2 linked regions of the Anolis sagrei genome follow. The protein of the gene in region 1 interacts with the protein of each later gene in a biochemical or structural test. Links are inferred from orthologs where the notes say so. Each region holds a gene or a part of one and is shown on either strand. Other genes may lie near its edges.

The links. The genes of interacting proteins can lie anywhere in the genome.
Region 2: of the proteins of SIAH1 (region 1) and HIPK2, one has a biochemical effect on the other in vitro, tested with the Homo sapiens proteins (4 studies listed by BioGRID, with this or other methods). The link is inferred for Anolis sagrei from reciprocal best matches to the Homo sapiens genes SIAH1 and HIPK2.

The regions. Positions count from the first base shown.
Region 1 is NC_090028.1:36,559,133-36,566,588, reverse strand, and holds the start of SIAH1 (E3 ubiquitin-protein ligase SIAH1), read right to left. Parts: upstream 3,023-7,456; 5' UTR 2,530-3,022; coding exon 2,439-2,529; intron 2,407-2,438; exon of another isoform or gene 2,305-2,406; coding exon of another isoform or gene 2,271-2,304; intron 1-2,270. UniProt on the Homo sapiens protein: E3 ubiquitin-protein ligase that mediates ubiquitination and subsequent proteasomal degradation of target proteins.
Region 2 is NC_090025.1:172,264,048-172,270,984, reverse strand, and holds the start of HIPK2 (homeodomain-interacting protein kinase 2), read right to left. Parts: upstream 3,022-6,937; 5' UTR 2,257-3,021; coding exon 2,238-2,256; intron 1-2,237.

The sequences.
Region 1 (7,456 bases):
ATTTGCATGCTAATGAACACACTACACTGTAATTCAATCAAGAAAGCCATGGGTCTCCTTTGTTTTCTAATGATCAGATATCCAACATGCAACATAAAAAATTCACCTTTCTCACTTTTGCTGGGTATACCTAAACCTAGATAGCTAACTGTTATGATATGAAAGTTCAATTTTTTTAAAAAAAAAAAACCAATAAGAAAACTAACACAACCATTCTTTAAATAAATACACAACAAGCCATTTCAAGAAGAATTGGGACTCAAATGGGGAATTTTGATAGCTAAAGTAAATAGAAAAGGATAATATAAAGAACTGAATCATACTTTCTTCACGATTGATCAATTAAAATAACACCAGAGGGTGGGGTGGGGGAGGGGGAGAAAAACTACTGAATACAAGTGAGACTTGATTGTGGAGCTGGTAAGGTTAAGATAATAGGATATATCAAATTGAGAGAAAATGCAAGTGGAATATCATTATCTATTTTTTCTGTTTAACCTTGTGGGATTGTTTTTGACATTTGTATCATTCTGCTTGTGTTTACAACAATAATAATCATTTCAGTAGTTGTGTTTACATTATTACTTTACTAGTAACAACTGATCAGCCCCATCACCATAATATCTATGTTTTGCCATAGATAATATAATATTAAATGAAACTGATTTTTAAAAATAAATGCCATTATGGAACTAGAAATAAATAAAGTTCACTTCCATTTTTAAATTACTGTGAAAATACCCTAAAAATTGTATATTTTCCTAGTGGGAAATCTGCATACCTCCTTTTCCATTAGGCGTTGATAAGTACTGTAATCATAAGATCTCTGCAAGATAAAGCAGTGAGCAACCGGACAAAAAACCAAGAGTAATTAAATTACAAGGCCACTGCAGTGTGCAGATGCTACTGAAATGGAAGAGTTAAACCTGAGAGCACCATGGGAACACAGATACTAAATGGGACAGTCATATGTTTATGGTAACCACAGTATTTTCTTTTCTTCTATCAACATGCACAGTTTATGTTTTGTTCTTGAGTAACTAACACTCTTCTTTTGTTGTGGAATCAACCTTGGACCCAACCTTTGACAAACCTGATTCCAAGCTTAGATTTTATCTTGTGGTTCACATATATATATGATTTTCACACACACACACACACACACATATATATGATTTTATCTTGTGGTTCACACACACACACACACACACACACATATATATATCAGCAACCTGAGTGAAGCTGCCTTTGCAGAACACATGCAAAATAGTGGGAGTGAGTGGTTATCTGCAAGCTGTTTCTAATGACCTGCTATATTAACTCCCAAAGAAGAAGCAATGTTAAAATGAGCAATTTACTACTTGGCAACAGCTGAAGTCAACCACCACAGTCATTTTCACTGGCAGAAATCTCAACACAAGTCTCTAGGAATGAAAAGGATCAACATCAGGAGGATATATGCAAAAAGGCCTGTGACTCTGGATGGAAAACTCATCCTCATACAACAAGGAGAACCAGGACAGCCTGTTGAGCCACTACTCTTAAGTATGCCTTATGTGCCTTCCCAAAACACAAGCTACAAAATGTGTGCTAAGTGTGGGATCCTTTCTCATCATCACAGAGCCTGTCAGGTCCTGCCCAATTCTGAAATACAGATAGAGCTTTCAGCAGCCTATAAATGCATCTGCTCTGATTAAAGCAAGACTTCTCTCAATAACGATTACACGAATCCAGTTTAGTCCATTATCATATGAGAGAAGTCCAGCTACTTTGTTCTTTACCACTACATGCTCCAAAATTCCAATGAGCAGAAATATGTTCAGGATGTTTGATGTCAGCATAAGGGAAAACAATACATGGCATCTCTTGTGTCTTGGCATTAAAAGATACTCAGATGAAAGCAAAGAAAGGCAAGTCTCTTATCTCTCCCCCCATTTTTATTTATCATGGTAACTAAAGACAAACATGTTAGGTCAGTTCAATACTTGGCAGCACTTCAGGAAGAAAACTATATTCAGATCCTGATAAGATTTCTTCGGTGTTACAGGTCACGCTAGATTCCAGGGTGGTGCCATTATTGTAGAGTGATAGAATGTAAAACAGGCCATGTGGACAATGTCAACACTGGTCTGTTTTCCCATGAAGTGTATCAGTGATTGTAGTTATTTCTGCCCCTTTTCAAACATGTATTGAATGTAAAGACAAGGAAAGGTATAAGCCACAAACCTAATTTTGCTAAATTCCTTAGATTTTACAAAAAAGGAAATTACCAGCTGGACTAAGAACTGCAGGATCAGCTCTCATACTGAAGAATTACCCAGAGGCATTTCTGATATCGAGCCAAACAATGAAGAGTGCATGCTTGTGATATCCCAGGCAACAGCGAACTTTTAACACTGAAATGCAGCACCTAACTATTCTGGTCAAACAATGGCTACCTTTTCTTTTGCTGGCTTTATTTCCTGGCAGGCATGTATCAAGGACTCCTTTCCACGCATATAAAAAACTGAAGGCGGATTTCCCCGTCATGAGGAGTAAAAGAGCTCATTGCGTTTCTCCATAGAAACTAAAACAATCCACAACAGAGGCCCCTCCTGGAAACTCCAAGGCAGGAATACAGCACCCAGAAGGGGGGCCACAGCCACAAGAGGCTCGCCACTCCTGGGACAAACCAGGGCAATGAAAGTCAGCTCCCCGCGTTGAAGTAAAGTTTTCCAAGTAATCCAAAGCAAGGTGGGAGTAGAAGAGGTGAAGCTGTAGATCTGGCAAAGCTCCAATTAGGTATATCCACTAGATCAGCAAGGCTCCCTGATAAGGATCCTGGAATTTCCAACACCACATCTTGTACGATTTCAAGTGCATCCAACCAGACGATAATGAAGCTCTAGCCCAAGAATGAAGAGTACAGCCAAAGACAAAACAAGTGAAGACGGCAGCACCAGGAGTAAAGCCACCGGCTGTGGACAGAGCCCTGATCTTGCTCTGCTTCAGCTCCTAACAAATGGGAGGGAAAGGAGGAGGAAGAGGCGGCGTCCCTCCTCAGCCCAGGGAGGGAAGGGAAGGAGGCGGGTGATGGGGCGGACCAGTCTCACATGACCGGCCGGACTCTGCTGGCAGCCAGCTAAGGCAAGCATTCCTCAGAGCCAGAGACTGCTGAGCACAGCAAAGGAGACGCTGGGAAAAGAAGGGTTGGGCTTTTTCTCTGCCACGCAAGGCCAGCCCCAGTCACAGCTCACCTCAAAGGCATCACTCTATTCTTGTGCTAAGGAGTCAGGGCAATGTCTGTACAATGTGGCTTTCGATGCTAACTTAGCAACAATTCTCCACGGTGTTTACTGGGGTCCTTTCCAACTTTACCTGGCCAGGTCAGTGACTCAATCTGGAGCTCTTTGCAAGCACAGCATCTGCACAGCCTCTGAATTTTGGACCTTCCCATAAAAGGCCGCTCTCTGAACTAAGGATCATTTTTTAAAAAAGAAACAAAAGTGAGATAACATTAGCAGTGCACTCTCCTCTGTGATCTCGCCAGAAAAGGATTCCCTTAGCAAACTGGGCTGGCAAAATTCAAGAAACTTTAGCGAACCCAAACTCTGTGGAGGACATAGTAATCCGGGGGTGGAAGTTGTTGTCGTCTCTGCAAAAAATGGGGGGAGGGATTACCATATACAAAATACTAGGCACAGCAGAGAGCAACAGTGATGACACATGGAGGAAGCAACTGCTAATTCTAGAAGTTCATGGATACACTTTTCACTGTTTAAAGCATTTAAGGAATGTATATGGATAATGTGTAAAAAAAACACGCGCACACATACACAGTTAAGGCAACAACGACAAAAAAGGAGCAAAATTATGGCTCTTTATTCTTATCTTTGTTTCACGGGCACTTCAAAATGCTTCTAAACAAAGTGATAGTCTCCTGTGCCTTCAAGTTACCTGTCGACATACAGAGACCCTAAAAACTTCATAGGGTTTTCTTAAACAAGGAATACTCAGAGATGGTTTTGTGAGTTCCTTTCACTGGAATATAGTTAGTCCTTGATTTGTTTCCAGTCTATCCCCACATACATCCCATGGATATGAAGATTCACGGATGCTTAAATCCCATTATATGCAATGGCATAGTAAAACTGTGTGTAAAATCAAAATTTGCAATATTTTCAAACCATGGACGGATGAATCTGTGGCTAATGCAAACTACATCGCTCACAGAACTTCATATCCATTGGTGGTCTCCCACTGAAATACTAACCTGGGATGAACATGCTTGGTTTCCAAGATCATACAGGATCTGGTACTTTTATTTATTTATTATTTGTTTGTTTACGACATTTATATGCCGCCCTTCTCACCCTGAAGGGGACTCAGAGCGGCTTACAAGGTATATATTACATACAATATATTATATTATTAGCATAGTACAATATCAGCATTAAACATTGCTATATTGCACCATATCACTATATCGTAATATTATTAGTAATATTACATGTAATATAAATATATAATTATAATATATTATTATATTGCATTACATTATAATATTATAAATATTTTATGTATATATATTATATTATATTATTATATTTTATATTATTAGAATAGCACTGGAGACAAGATGGAATGTCCCCTGGCCCCCTCTCTCTTCTTCTCTTTTATACATTTACTTCCTAAATATGACCCTGGTTCCACATGAGATGGAAAAGAGATATGCTAGGTACGTTGCCACAAACCAACTGTTGGGACAACTACAGGTCAGTGCTATGTTTTGAATCATGGAATCCTAATCTTTTAAAATGTAAATAAATAAATGTAAAATGTAAATAATCAGTAGATGGAAGAGGTAGTATCAATGCATACTACATTGCTGCTCTACATTACAGATGTGATGACAGTTATTATATTAATGTATTTCTAAAGGAAGTACAAAAAAACTGGAGAAAACAAAATTGCTTGCCAGAACTGTAGCAATTGGACTGTGTTTAGCTATGTTTAGCTCTAAGAAAACATAGATAACGACAATATATCACTAACATCCTGAAATTATATACTCTAGACTGTATTTGCTATTCATTTTTCTTCCAAAGCACTACTCTAATAACAAAAAAAGCATTGCACTTTATTTTATATATTTATTAAAATATTTACACCCCATCCTATGTCAAGTGATCGCAAGGAAATTTGTAACAGCAGTAGAACAGGTTAAACGGGCTAAAACAGCAACAGACTGTACATAAACTTAAATCACATCCAACAATATGTTTAAAAACCAAGTTGAAAAAGTTGTAAATAATAATATTTAGGTTGCATTAATGAGGTTCAAAGGCTTTCATGGGAGGAGCATTGGTGCCAGCTGGGCCTCCAGGAGATGAGCATTCCATAGCTGGGATGCAACAGCTGAGAAGCCTTTCTCCCATGTCCTGACATAGTCATCTCATGGTGGGACAGGGAAAACCCCTCCTCTTCTGAAGATCTTAATTCTCAGACAGGTAAACATAGGAAGAGGCATTCCTTCAAGTGTCAGAGTTATTTAGGGCTTGCGGTATCCCCATAAGCACCTTGTATTCAGACCTGAAATGTATTGGCAGCCAGTGCAATTATTTTAAAACTGGCATTAAATGTTGTGTATATGATATTTCTTCAGCAGTCAAGCTGCTGTACTTTGCACTAACTGCAGTTTCCAAACCTTCAATGGCAGCCCCATGCAGAACACAGTGCAGTAGCCTAGAAGGTTCCCAGTGCATGAATTACCTGTGGTTAGGTTATCCAGGAAAGGTCATAGGCACCAGTCAAAGCTGGCATGAAGCACTCTGGGTTACAAAGCCCACTTTAGCCTTCAGTGACACGGATGGAAACTAGGAGCATTCCCAAGCTGGATATCTGTTGCTTTATGGAGAGTCCAACCCCATCCAGAACAAACTGTTACTCAATTCCTGGATGGAATAACTTCCATTTCACAGAGCCTACGTCTACCAGGATTCAGCTTCAGTTTACTGGCCTTCATCCAGCCCATGACAGCATCCAGGCACTAGTCCAACACCTGCAAAGCCCCAGCTGACTCCAATGATACATAGAAGTTTGGTTATTTTTGAACAATCCAAACATAGATAACTTAATAGAAATGATTAATTGTTTCTAAAACTATTCCTCAATCAAATAATTCAAACTCCAGTTTTCAATCCACATTATTAGAAGTATCAGGACATGACAGAGGCTTTATCATCCCAGGACCATAGAAGACCAGACTCTCCCCACTTTTGTATCTCCTCCCTTACCCACCAACCCCCCCAAAAAAGTGTTTTAAAAAACTTCTTTCAGCAAAAGTTACAACCAGACATTTAATTCAATTTCTCAATACCTCTTTTAGCTCATATAGACTATTTTAGTGCCATATGGATTATTTCTCAAACCGCAATGACAACCACTTCCCATTTTGAAGAGAGAAAAAAGTCCAAATGGGCATAAAGCAGGCAATGGGGTGGGAACTGGGTGAAATGGTCAACCGCAAGATTTCATGAGGGACAACTGGCCAGTTCTAGTGAGAAAGGGTGCACAGGAAAAATGAGGGGGGGGGGGAGCAAACTGTTATTTCAAAGGTTGGCTATATGTAACCTGCAAGATGAGAATAGAAACTCACAATGAAGTAAATAACTAACTTAGTTACAAAGTCACTAATGTTATAATACCATTCAACATACTTGCAATGCTTTAATCTGATACGAACACCACCAAATTACAATAATTTTTCCTCAATTTCATATGTGGTACCCATAAACATTAAAATTCTATAAATAATAGTGCCAATATTAAATAAGTAGCTTTTATTTGGACCTCTGTCTCTGTGTAGTTTAAAAGATTTCCACTTGCAGTATACAATGGTCTGAGTACACATTAAAACTTTCAATCCTATTTTCCTCCTATCATAAGCACTTTCCTGTGTTGGGGGTCACCTCTGAAGTTTCCCAAACATTATTGGAGGGTTTGTTTCCAGAAGGAAATAATTCAGAATTTCACTGCAGACACACATCATTTAGCAGTCATCTGGACTAAGACCAAATCTAAGCAACTAAATATATATGAAAGCTTCCAACAATATTCTACATTGTTTGCAGAATAAATCTTCAAAGGATTCATCCATTTGAGACATATATAGCTCTCCTTAGACAGCAGAGAAGGCCTTCCAAAACTCAAGTACATCAGAACATTTAAGAGTTCACACAAGCATTAATTTGGGACTGAAAGACAACTGCCAAAAACAACAGTCTGACAGGGTAAGAAGAACGAAGCACAATGACCACCATAATCCCACTCTTGAGGAACAGGGTAAAATGGTTTATTCCTATGCAATTCATTTGCCACTGCAGTGCTGGTGCATCATCTTCCTCTCCATCTATATGGGCTGAGGAAATGGAAAGGTTTTCAAGCCTTGCTTATACAAAATAGGCCTGATGCAAGT
Region 2 (6,937 bases), on another chromosome or scaffold:
CGATTTTCTTTTTTTTCCCCCACTCCCATGAAGCTTGGGAAAAGGACAAGGAAAGCAACTGAGAACAAGATCCAGAGTAAAACACACACACATATATATATAAAAGGCAACTTCATGCACTTTAGTCAACTCGGTGCCATTCAAACTCAGGCTTGTTTAGCTCGAAACTGAGATCCATTGTGATATTTTAATGAGAACAAAACACTTCCTTTGGATATATAGACCAGGCATCTTCAAACTGTCCCCCCCCCCCCCCCCCAGCTGTTTGGGCCTCTAACTCCCAGTAGCCCTAATGAGCTTGTTTAATTGTCAGGAATTCTGGGAGTTGAAGGCCCAAACAACTGGAGGGCCGCAGTTTGAGGATGCCTGGTATAGACGCACACATGTACTGCTACAGATGTGTGTGTATCTACACTAGGCATGGGCCAACTTGGGCCCTCCAGATGTTTTGTACTCCAGCTCCCACAATTCCTAACAGCCTCAGGCCCTTTCCTTTTCCCCCTCAGCTGCTTATGCGTTAGGCTGTTAGGAATTGTGGGAGCTGGAGTCCAAAACACCTGGAGGGCCCAAGTTGGCCCAGGCCTGATCTACACTGTAGAGTGGATGCAGTCTGACACTGCACTTCAAAGAGGGTGTCAAGCTACATACATTTTACAGTGTAGATCTCTACCTATAGCAAGGATTCCCATGTTTCACACTAAAAAAAAAATGAAAATAAAACCTCTGGCACTGCAAAGGCACTCAGCTGCCCAGACCCACGGGTGGTGAGGGTGGGGAGAGCGGGGCCAGCGAGTGACGCAGCTGCAGGACTTTCCGTGGGTTCTTTTGCTGAGGATCGAGGCTGGAGATTGCGGGCAGCCGTCTGTCAAAAGGCATTGTTCCCGCAGAGAGACTTTGCTAAGCCTGGGCCCTGTCCCCAGGTAGTCTAGACCTCCCGCACTGTCTACTGTCTCGTCCCTGGGGGAAAGGGGGGGGGGAGAGGAAGAAGAAAGGTTCTCCAAAGGACCGGCTCCGAAGGGGGCGGGGAGAGAGCAGGGAGGGGAAGAAAAACCCCTCAAAATGATGATGATAATGATACTAATACATTAATAATAATAATAATAATAATAATAATAATAAATTATTAAGTACCATATACAATAATATAATAAAAGTAGTAGTTATAATATAAATTATAATAAAAGTAGTACTAATATGCAACATAAAATAATAATATAATATATAATAAAAGTAGTAATAGAAAATACAATAATTGCAATAATAGAAAATATAATAAAAGTAGCAATATAAATATAATTATAATATAAATAAAAGTAGTAATAGAAAATACAATAATTATAATAATACAAAATATAATAAAAGTAGTAATAGAAAATATAATAAATATATATAATATAATACAAGTAAGTAATAGAAAATATAATAATTATAATGATATAAAATATAATAAAAGTAGTAATAGAAAATATAATAAAAATATAAAATATAATAAAAGTAGTAATAAAAATATAATAATTATAATAATATAAAAATGATAAAATAGAAAATATAATAATTATAATAAAAATATAATGGAAGTAATAATATAAATAGAATTATAGTAATATTAAATTAAATAAAAGGAGTCCTATAAATTACAATAATCATAACAGAAAATATAATAAAAGTAGTAATAGAAAAAATAATAGAAAATAATAAAAATAATAGAAAATATAATAATATAATAAAAGTAGTAATATAAATAGAATTATAATAATATAAAATAGACTAAAAGCAATCCTATAAAATACAATAAACATAATAGAAAATATAATAGAAGTAGTAATATAAGACTATAAGATAACATTAAATATAATAGTAATAGTTTGGTGAGGAACCAGCCTGCTTAGGTAGAGAAGGCGCAGAGGAATAACAGGAATCCCTGATTATGATTGTTGTTATGCTCGAAACCTTAGTTCTACCTTGCCAGAGCCATCCTTCAGTATACAGAGGGAGAATCCCATATACACAAAGCAGGGGGGGGGGGAGTGTAGAAGAACCCCCCCCCCCGCAACCCCATAGTGAAAGGGGGTGTTCCCCAAATCGGTGGTCACCCTTCTCCTTCTAATCCCGAATCCTTTCCAATTGCCGGGTTTGCTCCGTTTTAGATAGACTGTACCCCCGGTCTCTTCCTCCTCCTCCTCCTCCTCCTCTGCTTCGGATGGGAAAGAAAGGGCTTCTGCTGCGGCGGGGCTTACCTTCGTACATGGGGGCCATGGGTGCGAGGTTTGCCTGTTATTCATGGCCACGAAAGGCGACGCCAGCGAAGCAGGGTTGTCTCTGTGCCTGTGGGTTCTTCTCCTTCTCCTTCTTCTTCCAAAGGGGAGCCCCTTCCTCGCCTCCTTCTCCTCCTCCTCTTCTTCTTCTTCCTCCTCCTCCCGGGCCCCCCTCCTCCCTCCCCCGGCGTGGCAAAAAACTCAATCGCAATCTGCCATCTTGAGCCGACTCTGGGTCTCTCCGGAGAGGAGCCTCCTCCACCGCCGCCGCCGCGTCGCCCAGCCGCCTCCTGCCCGCATCCCTTTCTCTCCGCAGCCGCTCAAAGGGAAGGCAAGGCAAGGCAGGGCGAAGAAGGAGGAGGAGAAGCAGGAGGAGGGGGAGGAGGAGAGGTCAAGCGGAGGAGAAGGCACCTCTCCCCAGTCCCCTCCTCCCCAAACCACCGGGACCCCCTTCGGTCTTCAAGCAGGGGGGGAAGGAGAGGCAGCCACGAAAACGGGGTCTCTCTCAGCTCCGCATGCCGGTCCTGGCCGGGAGATGGCTGCAAAAGTTGCCGGAGAAGGGAGAGCAATGAGAGAACGAGGAGGAGGAGGAAAAGAGAGAGGGAGAAGGGGGGGGGGGGCAAGAGGGAAGGCACAGGGAGTTTGCAAATAATCAAGCGCCGATGGCACGGATCGCGGCTTCCCCGAAGGAAGGAGGGGAACAAAAGGGGGCGACGCGCGATCGTGGGGAAGGGACGACGCGTTTCGAGGAAGGAGAAGACAAGGAGGGAGGGGAGCCAAGCCCCGAGCCCGCCCCCCTCCGCCGGTAGCCAGGAAGGCAGGCAGGCAGGCAAGGAGGGAGGTGTGGCAGGGCTTGCTCGCTCGAGTTGTGGAAAACTTTCCCCAGGATCTACGCCAGGCACGGGCAAAACTTGGGCCCTCCCTCCAGGTGTTTTGGACTTCAGCTCCCACTATTGCTTAAACCGTCTCAATCATCCGCATCAAACCTGGTTGCAAGCACTTCATCACACCAGAGGAAAAAAATCCACTTAAAATCCGCTTTCTGCCTCCTGTAGAATTCTGGGGTTTGTAGTTTAGTGAGGCTGTTAAAGGTTCCTCCCTAAACTACAAACTCCAGAATTCTACAAGAGGCAGAAACCAGATTTTAAGTGGATTTTTTTTCTCTAGTGTGATGAGGGTTGGTTTGTGTGTGTGTCAGGAGCTACTTGATAAACTGCAAGTCGCTTCTGGTGTGAGAGAATTGGCCATCTGCAAGGCCAACCTAGCAATTTGAAAACATGCAAATGTGAGTAGATTAATAGGTACTGCTCCAGCGGGAAGGTAACAGCGCTCCATGCAGTCATGCCGGGCCACATGACCTTGGAGGTGTCTACAGACAATGCCAGCTCTTCAGCTTAGAAATGGAGATGAGCACCATACCCCGGAGTCAGACACAACTGGACTTAATATCAGGGGAATAACTTTACCTTTACCTAAGGACATTACCCAGGGGACACCAGGATGTTTTACCATCCTTGTGGGAGGCTTCTCTCATGTCCCTGCATGGGGAGCTGGAGCTGACAGAGGGAGCTCAACCGTGGTCTCCCCAGAATCCGAACCTCTAACCTGCCCCTCTTCAGTTCTGCCAGCACAAGGGTTTAACCTATTGCGCTACCCCACCAGGGGCTCCTCAAGTTTCCTAGTAAAGGCAAAGGTTTACCCCTGACATTAAATCCAGTGGTGTCCGACTCTTAGGGGTGGTGCTCATCTCCATTTCTAAGCCAAAGAGCCGGTGTTAACACCTCCAAGGTCATGACTGCATTGAGCGCCGTTACCTTCCTGCCAGAGCAGTACGTATTGATCTACTCACACTTGCATGTTTTCGGACTGCTAGGTTGGCAGAAGCTAGGGCTAACAGCAGAAGCTCACCCCACTCCCCTGATTCAAACCTGCAACCTTTTGGTCAGCAAGTTCAGCAGCTCAGCGCTTTAACCCACTGTGCCACCGGGGCTCTTATTGCTGCCTTATTGCACTGTCCCAATGGCTAGGTCCCACAGCCAAGTTTTTATCATCCTTCTAAAAGACAGGAGGGAAGGGACTGCTCAAATCTCACCAGGAAGGGAGTTCCAAAGTTGAGGGCCAATCACTGAGAAAGCCCTCTCTCTTGTCCCTACCAGTCACATGGCCTCCCCCGGAGGTTGGTTCATCAGATGCTCTGCTATGGCTGACTTCTCTGCTTGAAGTAATGTGCGGTGCCTTTCATCTTCCTTGATTCATGTTTGGCAATGCTGTGTTTGGTGGTCCCTATGTAGACTTGTCCACAGCTGCATGGTATACGGTAGACTCCTGCAGAGATGAGGGGATCCCTCTTGTCCTTTGCCAAATGTAGCATTTGTTGGATTTTCTTAGTGAGTCTGTAGATAGTTTGTAGGTTGTGTTTCTTCATCAGCTTCTGGGTTATTATATCTATTTGTACTTCCTTTCCTCTCTGGAACCAGACTCAAAGCCATAGTTTGAAGGCACTGCGAAGCTGGCCCTCCCTATGCGGGTTCTGCATCTACAGCTTGATAATGTTTTTTAAAATTCCAAAAAGCAAACCTGGTTGTGCCATTTTATATAACATATACTATTTACTATGCCATTGCATATAATGGGACTTGAACATCCTTTGATTTTGGTGTTCATGAGAAGTTCTGGAACCAAACTCTTGTAGATACCTACTGAGGGCCCAGCCATTTCCAGATTGAGCCTGACTTGGATTTTGGTATCTGCAGGAGTCCTGAGACTAAACCCCAGCAGACACACAGGGCCCACAGTGGCTCCTCCAAGAGCTCTAGGGTGCATCTACACTGGCCACTTCATGTGAAGGCATTTCAAAGAGGCAGTATTAAAATAATGCACAGCACAAACTTGTTTGAGAGGCCTTAAACTGGGATAAGCAAAATCCCTCCACAGGCCTTGTAAATTCAGCACCAAAGGAACTGCTTTGATTTAATATATACATCTGTAATAATATATCTATTTGTAATCTAATCTTCCTTTTTTCCTAAACTGCCTAAGCCAGGACTTTTCAACCAAGGTTCCCTGGAATAGTAAAATTCCACAAGAGGTCACATGTGATTTTGTGAGAGATCAGTACAGAATAATTCTGATTATCTATATCTGCAGTGATGCAACAGATTAAACCACTGAGCTGCTGAACTTGCTGCCCGAAAGGTTGGCAGTTCAAATCTGCTCATCAGTGGGTGAGCTCCCACTATTAGCCCCAGCTTCTGCCAACCTAGAAGCTTGAAAACATGCAAATGTGAGAAGTTCAACAGGCACTGCCTCGCAGGAAGGTAAATGGCACTCCATGCAGGTCATGCCAGCCACATGACCTAGGAGGTGTTTAAAGGCAATGGACAACCCAGGCTTTTTGGCTTAGAAATTGAAATGAGCACCGGTGATGAGCATCACCCCTCAGAGCTAGAATGGGAAGCCTTTACCTTTATTTGTGTTTCATTGTTTCTAGGCATTGAATGTTTAGCTTTGTGTTGTGTATACTGGACTCCACCCTGATTCTCCTTGGGGAGATAGGGCAGAATCTAACTCAAGTGTTGTTATTGTTGATGATGTTGTTGTTGTTGTAAATATAATAAATGGCTTAAATATCTTAAAGACCCCAAATCCGTTTGATCTTGGAACCTAAGCAGGGTTTGCCAAAGTGGATGGGATATTGCCAACAAATATTTAAGTGGAAGGAACTGGGAAAACCTATGGAATTTCAGGGGTCAACATAAGTTTATAAATGACTCTTTCTCTTTCTCTCTCTCTCTGTATGCCTTCAAATTACCTGCTGTCTTATAGTGACCTCATACATTTCATTGGGTTTTCTTTAACAAGGAATACGCAGAAGAGGTTTTGACAGTTCCTTCCTCTGAAATATATCCCACAGCACCTGGTATTTGCTGGCGGACTCCTATCCAAAACATAGCTGACCCTGCTTAGTTTATAAAGTCAGATGAGATCTAGTGCCTTTAGTGTGTTTGAAGGCACAGAGACATAAATATAATAATTTTTAGGCAAGGGTTCTCTGAGACCTCGGTATTATTTCACTGGTTTCTCCAGGGTAAAAAAAAAATTGGGAAGGCTGCTCTAAACAGCAAAAATGTCTGCTCGTGGTTGCAGAAATTCATTGCGTAACATATCTTATCAGTAATATTAGTTATAAAATATTTATTTTTGACCTTTCTTCACCCTATTACATTTCAGGATTTTAACAGTAGTACATCATATTCTTACGTCACACATTTTACAACACAGTATTTAGACATCAGCTAAGATAGACTCCTGATCCTTTATTCAAGTGCTCTGCATTTCTTTGTTTCACACAAACACAAACTTTGTGGGTCTTGTTTAAAGATAAGGAGTGCTGAGCTGCTGCCTCTTTTCTCCTCTTTAGTCTTTCCCCAAAAAACGGTGTGCTGTAAACAGTGTGTTTATGAATATGGTGAAATAAACCTATACTGTTGCTTTATGGAGCCCCTCCACTCCCACCTTAAAAAGAGCCACATCAGAAGCGTGTCTCTGGATTGAGTGTGACAGGCACGGGAGCCCCCTCCTGTGTTCATTTTAAGCGATCCATCTCTTTTGCTCAATTTCTGCCCTGGCACTGCCAGCTCTTTTCTTGTAACTTGTCTTCAGGGCATTTCCCTGGGGCTGTT